Linked DNA regions of Bombyx mori. The protein of the gene in region 1 purifies or fractionates together with the protein of each later gene. This does not show direct contact. Links are inferred from orthologs where the notes say so. Each region holds a gene or a part of one and is shown on either strand. Other genes may lie near its edges.

Region 1 (3,500 bases):
TACGTACACGATTTATAGTTGCTAACATAAATATTTGCCTGTACTCCTTCCAGGAGGCGATACAACGCGAGGCGTCCCTGGAGAATCGTTTGCGCACGTTACGCGAGTGCGTGGAGCGCACGAGAGCAGAAGCGCAGGCCTCGTGGGAGTTGTTTGTGGGCGAACAACGACTTCTAATGCGGGTGCACACTCTCGAGTCCATGCTGTCTGTCGGGAAGCAACCGGACGAGCAACATCTCACGCAGCTACTCAACGACAAGAGGAACTATCAGGTATCAACAACTGTCAACAACTATCGACTGGTGGTAGGACCTCTTGTGAGTCCGCACGGGTTGGTACACCACCACCCTGCCTATTTCGGCCGTGAAGCAGTAATGCGTTTCGGTTTGAAGGGCGAGACAGCCGTTGTAATTATACTGAGACCTTAGAACTCATGTCTCACGGTGGGTGGCGGCATTTACGTTGTAGATGTCTATGGGCTCCAGTAACCACTGGATACCATGTGGGCTGTGAGCTCGTCCACCCATATAAGCAATAAAAAAATCTGTAAAGTGAAAATTTTCAATTTGGCCTTATTTAATTGCTTAGATTGTGTGAACGTTAAGTGGTTACTGGAGCCCATGGATATCAACAATGTTAATGCCGTCGCCTACCTTAAGATATGAGTTCTAAAGTCTTCGTTTTTACGTTGGTGGGATTTGTGGTCTCTGTCTTAATTCAGTAGTAAGAAATGCGAATTATAATTACTGCGAATTAAATTTTTATTACACGATGATATTCGTTCATTATTAAAGTGTTTTCGTGAATATATGTCAAATTTATATTTCATTATTTGGATCTGCGATTCCACCGTCGCTATTATTTCTTAAGATGTTCGTTATTTTATACGTAGAAACGTCTTACACACAGACTTACTACTAAACAGTAGGCATATTATGAAATATTAGAACTGTTGAAATTTGGAAAGTTTAATTTAAAAAAAATGCATATACCTAGTTTTCATGCACTTGTACTTGTGTACTTACTTCTGATATATATCAGCGAACCCTGTTCAGTAAGCTGATTCCAAAAGATGTATATGTTTGTCTCCACTTCCAAACTGGAAATCGTTTTGACTGATTCGGTGGTGCATTAACTAACACCTCTGGCGCTGGGCCGAGGGTCGTGGGTTCGATTCCCGCATTGGGCAAACGTTTTTGGTATGAACAGCATTATTTGTCCCGTGTCTGATTAATATCCGTATATGTCTATTTTTAAACGTACACATATATTTGTTTTTGGTTGCCATAGTTCAGGGAATACAAGTTCGGGGTCATATGGCATTTGTGACCAGCAACCTTCCTGTCCTTTTTTTTATTTATTTTTTATTACGGCCCACCTGATTGGGAGTGGTTACCGTCGCGCATGGACTTCAGCAAAGCCAGGGGCAGAGCCAAGCCGCTGCTTACCGCTTAACGTTATGCCTTACGTTAAGACGTTATGCCTTAAGCTTGAGAAATATTGTTTCGTGTTACAGAAAGTGGCGCAGGAAAGTCTTCGAGCGGCGCACGAGCAGCGGCTCGCGCTGGAGGAGTCGCTAGAGCGACGCAGTCGGGAGGCGGCCGCCCTGCACCACCACAACTGTGCGCTGCGACTCGCCGCCAACAACGCGCTCGCCGAGCTGCAGGTCACTATTTATTGCCGTTGCAGGCAGACGACTTACTGGTGGTAGGACCTCTTGTGAGTCTGCCCGGGTAGGTACCCGCCTATTTCTGCCGTGAAGCAGTAATGCGTGTCGGGTTGAAAGGTGGGGCAGCCGTTGTAACTATACTGGAGACGTTAGAACTTATATCTCAAGGTGGGTGGCGCATTTACGTTGTAGATGTCTGTGGGCTCTAGTAACCACTTAACACCAGGTGGGCTATGAGCTCGTCCAAACATATAAGCATTAAAAAAAAAAAACGAGCATACCGCCTACCTGATTGTGGGTGGTTACCGTCGCCCTATTTACTTCAGTAATGCCAGAGCCAAGCCGCTGCCTACCGTTAAGTACTCTCCACAAGCCTCGTTTGAAGAAGGACATGTCATAGCGCTCTGGGAACACCGTGGATGGTACGTGGCAAAAAAGATCTCTGGAAACGCACTGTGGATGAGCGTAACGGCTCCAGGTAGCACGGATGAATTCTACTCCGGTGGCAGGCGTTGGGATGATAAAAACGAAGATCACTCTTTGTTTATCGGTGCACCACCGCAGACAACCGCCACCCACCTCGTGATGTAAAGTCGAAATCCCAGCTGTACTGTCTCGCTCTTCAAAACGTGAGAACACTTCACGGTAGATATAGACAGTACTTCGTACCTGCCGGTGTTCAACACGGTGTTTCCCAACTTGGGGCCCAGGCCCCATAAGGTGACAATTTGATAATATAGGGAGTAATCGCACTAAATGAATATAGAAAATTTGTATTAAAATTACTTTGAATTTGAATTTCAATTTTAGATTATATGTTTTGAAATATTAGTTACTATGTTTTGATAACAATTTGATAGTGATTTCTTCCTAAAACCTGTCATTTATGTTTCTTAAGCGAAAAAATCAATTGCTTAATGTTAAAAATTATGTATGGGGGGCATACAAATTTTAGAAATGTTACATGGGGCATGGCACAAAAAAGGTTGGGAAACGCTGGTTGAACATCAACCAAACCTACCATTGAAATATGCCGCAATCTCATATTATGTAGTGTTTGAAAACAAAAACGTTGAATATAGAAATGCACTGCTATTAAATCTGGTGTGTGGTTACAGAAGCTGGCAGCGAGATGCGAGCGTAAGATGTGCGCGGCGCGGCTCGCCATCACAGCCGCCGAAGAACGAGAGAAAGCTGTGAGGAGCCAACTACCTCTCGCTGTGAGTACATTAAACTTATCCATAAACAAAAATAATAATAATTATCAGATATATTTTCGCAATGTATGTGTTGATAAATAGTTTACACTGTTCTAAATAGGAGAAGGGCAGGAGAATGATGATGATGACGTATTGATTTATCTCTTAAAATATATTTCTACCAGTATTCAGTACAAAACGGCGAGACGAAGATGTTGGTGCTGAGTACGGACAGCAACAAGCTACAGGAGCCGAAACGCAGCGCCACCCTCGAGGAAGCCGTCCGGGCCCTTCCTGATTACGTCAAGATGCTGCTGCCGCAACAACTACTGAATAAGGTATACTAGCTCATAATGGCCTTACTGTACTGTTACTGATGCGGGGTACCGTAGTTTGGGGGGAATCGGGGCCCTTTCCAAATATAACACAAATTTTCAATGGTTTTTCTTGGGGTAGTACCAATAAAATTGAGATTAAAATAGTTCCGGAGGTTTAAATTTTTATATAAGATGCGTTATTATACATAGTTCATTACCTTTTTTCCTACCTATGCTGATAGCCTTGAGAGGCTATTTCAGCTTCGCCCTAACGTGTAGGTGAGCTCACGGGGCTCAAACCGGGAGTGGCCCGGT
Region 2 (4,111 bases), on another chromosome or scaffold:
CGGTTTTTCTTAGTGCCAAATTATGATGAAGCGGCGTGCATAGCAATAGGAATATGTCTCAAGTCGGCGCACACTTGCCACTTTTTCGTACAAAACGTGTTGTTTTAGTGATCGTTGGGATTCACAAGGTGTTGCATAGTAGTTACTGCACCTTATCTTTCGTTAAAATTAGCAAATGTATGTGATTCGGTAGTAAGTAAATAATTTTTATCTTTTTCTTTGTGTGCCGCCAAATTTTGAAATAGTTAAATATGTGCCGCAACAAAAAAAAGGTTCAGAATCACTGCTCTAATGCAATAAAAATAAAAAACAATGGATCTCCGATTGTAACTAATTGACATAAATACTCACTGTCCTTCTTTAAAGTATTCTTTGAGTGTAGTAGAAAATCGCTTTGAATATTTTACAAATTCTCTTTTCCTCTGTTCTAATACTTGCTTCCCAGGACCTGGAGTATATGTAGATACCTCATTTACAGCATCCAGTAATTTTTTTATGGCAGAGGCTATTTCCCTGTTAAATTATATACTATGGTTATTACAATGTTGATTATTATATCAACGCTTGAAAGGCAAATGTGACTAAGCAATAATAACTGCTTTGTACATAAATGATAGGCAATAACCATATTTAATGCGTAAAAAATATATATTTCTAGGTATATTAAAAACATTTCAATCCTACAGCTAGATTCATTAAAATTGAATTTTTTTCAGGTATTTCAGCTTTAAATTGGTCTACTGTAAAGTACACGCATTGTCACTTAGTCATGTTTGCCTTTCAAGTGTTGATATATTAAAGAATACAACCAATATTGCATTTTCTACAGCACATACTTGATAGTCTCAAGAAAAGTCTTCCGATCAGTTATCTCATCTGGAATGCGACTCAGTATCTTTTTCAAAGCAGCAGATTTCTTATTAAGCTCCTGAAATGCCTCTTCAGTCCTGTTCAGCCTTAAATCAGTACCTATAAACAGAACTTTCTTGAGATTACATTGTAAAATCGTTTGTTTTTTAATTTTGTCTTTATCGTTTTATTTCTGAAAAATGGTCAGTTTTCATAACTTGAAGGTTTTTTAAATAGTATCATAAACTTGTAAGTTAACTAAATACAAAAAAATATAAATTCATACATTCTGAATCTGTGAGACTCCCTTGTAATCTTAATAAGCTCTCATTCATATTAACAGGAATATCTGCTCTCCTCATGATTCCTGCCACCAAATCATAATTAAGACCAGGTACTGCAGCCTCTGCTTTGGTGAGAGCTGCTCGTAATGTCTGAGAGGCAGCCAGATCATATTTCTCCAGCTGAAAACACATTTTAAAACATACTTTAGGTGGGAAAATAATATTAATAATAGTCTATCTGGCTATCGACTTTGCTTGGGTCGACAAAATACATACTACTATTAATACTTACCTTTCCTATAACAGTACTACTATTTTCACCATTTTCATCCTTAAATTCCTATAATTTTGCGTCTATTTGCTACCTAATCTAAGACGACATTGATCAAAATGAACACACATGTACCATTTTATTTTTCCCAAGAAATAACAATGTCTGCTTTATCTTGCTCTGTCAGTTATCCTGCTCGGATAACTTTTTGTATCAGGCAATTGAGACTTGAAGTTTAGGGCAACAGTATTCATGATATTTTTTCTAAGAACTCCAGTAACCAGTAACAAAATATGAATAAAGTTATGAAAGCAATATTACAGTGGTTTCTTTATTATTAACGACTGTAAAACAAAAGATACAAGATCAATTCATTTTATTAATTCTGATATTGGGTCTTGTTGAGGTTACCAAGAAACTAGTTGATAGTTAAGTTACCTTGATTAGAATGCCTAAAATGATAAGGTCATATTTTAATACATGTAAGTAGATTTAGAACGACTCACCTGCGTTAGGACAGGGCGAATTAAAACTGGTAATACCAAAGAAGTCACAGGCAATTCATCGCCCATTGTCATTGTGATAGTTTAAATATTTCAATTTATCTAAGAAATTTATAAAACCCCAATGATTGTAGGCCAGTAACAATCAGATAAAAACAGTTTAATTAATGAAGGTAAATTTTGTAATCATTGGTGACAATTTGAGAAATATGTCAAGTGGTAGTACTTCCCTTTTTCTAACTGGAAAGGCGAAAGTATCACCTTACAACCAAATTGTTCCTTTTTTATGAAAAATGAAGAGAACGAAATTAAATTAATTAATTTGAAATATGAATCAATTAGGATGAAAGTAAATGAAACAAGATGAGTTGGGATGAAGTATAGTCTGAGTGATATGGTTATTTACTGAGACTTTTTGGAAGATCCTGGGAAACTACACCCAGCACGGCGCCGCGGCGGCTTTGTTTCATTTTTCCACATTTTTGCCCTTTCACGGGTACTAAACATTTAATAAACCACTGCTATTACACATTGAAACCCAAAGAAAGACTAATTTAATAAATAAAACAATTCACACAACTTCTCGCCCCGCGTTCCCGCCAAAAGTCAAACAACGTGAACGTATTGAATTTTCTTGTTTGATTAGTCCATTGTAAACGAAATGTAAGCACCTACAGCTAAATCCTTTGTACTTTGAAAATTACAAGAAAATATCATAGGCATAGTTTTTAGGGTTTTCATGAAAAGACCATGACAATACAACTGACGCATGGCTTTAATATTTTAATATTTAATAAAAATTTAGGAGTATGATCAAAGTTTCTTTGCCTCTTCACCAGATCAATAAAAAAAAAATACGATTTCACTCATTGAACCACAGATTGAGAGAGGCGGGAACCTTCAAAAAATTTGGGACGGAACTTGAGAAGAGGGCCAATTAAAAAATTCATATCCTTTTTAACTAATTTAATTTGATATTCTGTAGATATTGTAGCATATTTTAGTTTATAACTGTATATATGTTTAGTTTATAATTGTATATTTTAGTACTTTAGCGTAGATAGTATGGAGTTGGAGGCGGGAACGGATCCCCCGGATCCGAATATTACTGAGGAGACAACTGATACGACTAACTCAAGGTTTAGCCAACCAATATTTTTCTGTGATGAGTTCGACCTTTCCAACGTATCTGAATTTGTCAACGTTAAATCGAAGAAATCCCAAAAAAAGAAACTTGTTAATTCTTTTAAACCAAAGATCTCGGACAAACAACTTTCGTTGCGCCCGCTGCAGCAGGCTTTGGCGGGAAATCTTGCAAATAACGTAAATAAGCTTATAGTGCCTCCTCGCCAAATTGTACAGACCTCACCAGAGCCTACTTCAGCGAGTCCTTCTATGACACCATCTGAGACCCCAATGGCTGACTCTGTTTACAGAAAAAAATACACTGAACAGGATCCTGGTCCATATATGGTCCATGTTACTTTAATCTCAGATTCTAATAGTACTACATCACTGCACCCACTTAAATTTGGAAATTTTCTAAAGAAAAGCAATCTTGGTAATATCTTACAGGATGGAATTAAACGAGTAGGTCGTAATCGCCTGGCAATAACTTTTAAAACACATAGTGATGCCAATATTTTCATATCCAACATGTCTATGAATCCATTGTGATTCCAGTGATTCCTACATATAATATATGTAAAATGGGTTTGATAAAGGGTATCCCTCAGGAGTGGACTCATGAGGACATTGTAGACAATCTGCAAATCCCAGAAGGCTATGGACAAATTATCAAATCCCGTAGATTAAACAGGAAGTCTGTCAACTCAGATGGAACTTCATGGATTCCTACTCAAACTGTGGTCTTGACTTTTGACGGACAGTCTCTTCCCTCTAGAGTGTATTCCTTTTTTTCAAGTATTCCAGTTGAACAGTATATTTATCCAACGGTACAATGTTTCAATTGTTGTCGCTTTGGACACACTCGTGTTCAATGCAGGAGCAAACCTAGATGTAATAAATGTGCTGGAGAGCACAGCGGACTGGCTTGTAATACTGAGACTTTTTCTTGTGTTAACTGTAGAGGTGAACATATGGCTACAAACAAATCTTGCCCTGAGTTTAGTAGACAAACAAATATTAAAAAACATATGTCTCAAAACCCCATTTCATACCAAGAAGCCTCTAAATTGTTTCCT

The links.
Region 2: the proteins of sarcolemmal membrane-associated protein (region 1) and programmed cell death protein 10 purify together in Homo sapiens (affinity purification with mass spectrometry; 3 studies listed by BioGRID and IntAct, counting the BioPlex papers as one, with this or other methods). This does not show direct contact. The link is inferred for Bombyx mori from reciprocal best matches to the Homo sapiens genes SLMAP and PDCD10.

What each region holds. Positions count from the first base shown.
Region 1 is NC_085114.1:11,202,830-11,206,329, reverse strand, and holds part of sarcolemmal membrane-associated protein, read left to right. Parts: intron 1-53; coding exon 54-272; intron 273-1,516; coding exon 1,517-1,666; intron 1,667-2,787; coding exon 2,788-2,889; intron 2,890-3,053; coding exon 3,054-3,206; intron 3,207-3,500. UniProt on the Homo sapiens protein: Associates with the striatin-interacting phosphatase and kinase (STRIPAK) core complex, forming the extended (SIKE1:SLMAP)STRIPAK complex.
Region 2 is NC_085110.1:8,725,734-8,729,844, reverse strand, and holds the start of programmed cell death protein 10, read right to left. Parts: upstream 2,801-4,111; 5' UTR 1,983-2,800; coding exon 1,911-1,982; intron 1,314-1,910; coding exon 1,136-1,313; intron 970-1,135; coding exon 837-969; intron 514-836; coding exon 352-513; intron 1-351. UniProt on the Homo sapiens protein: Promotes cell proliferation. Modulates apoptotic pathways. Increases mitogen-activated protein kinase activity and STK26 activity. Important for cell migration, and for normal structure and assembly of the Golgi complex.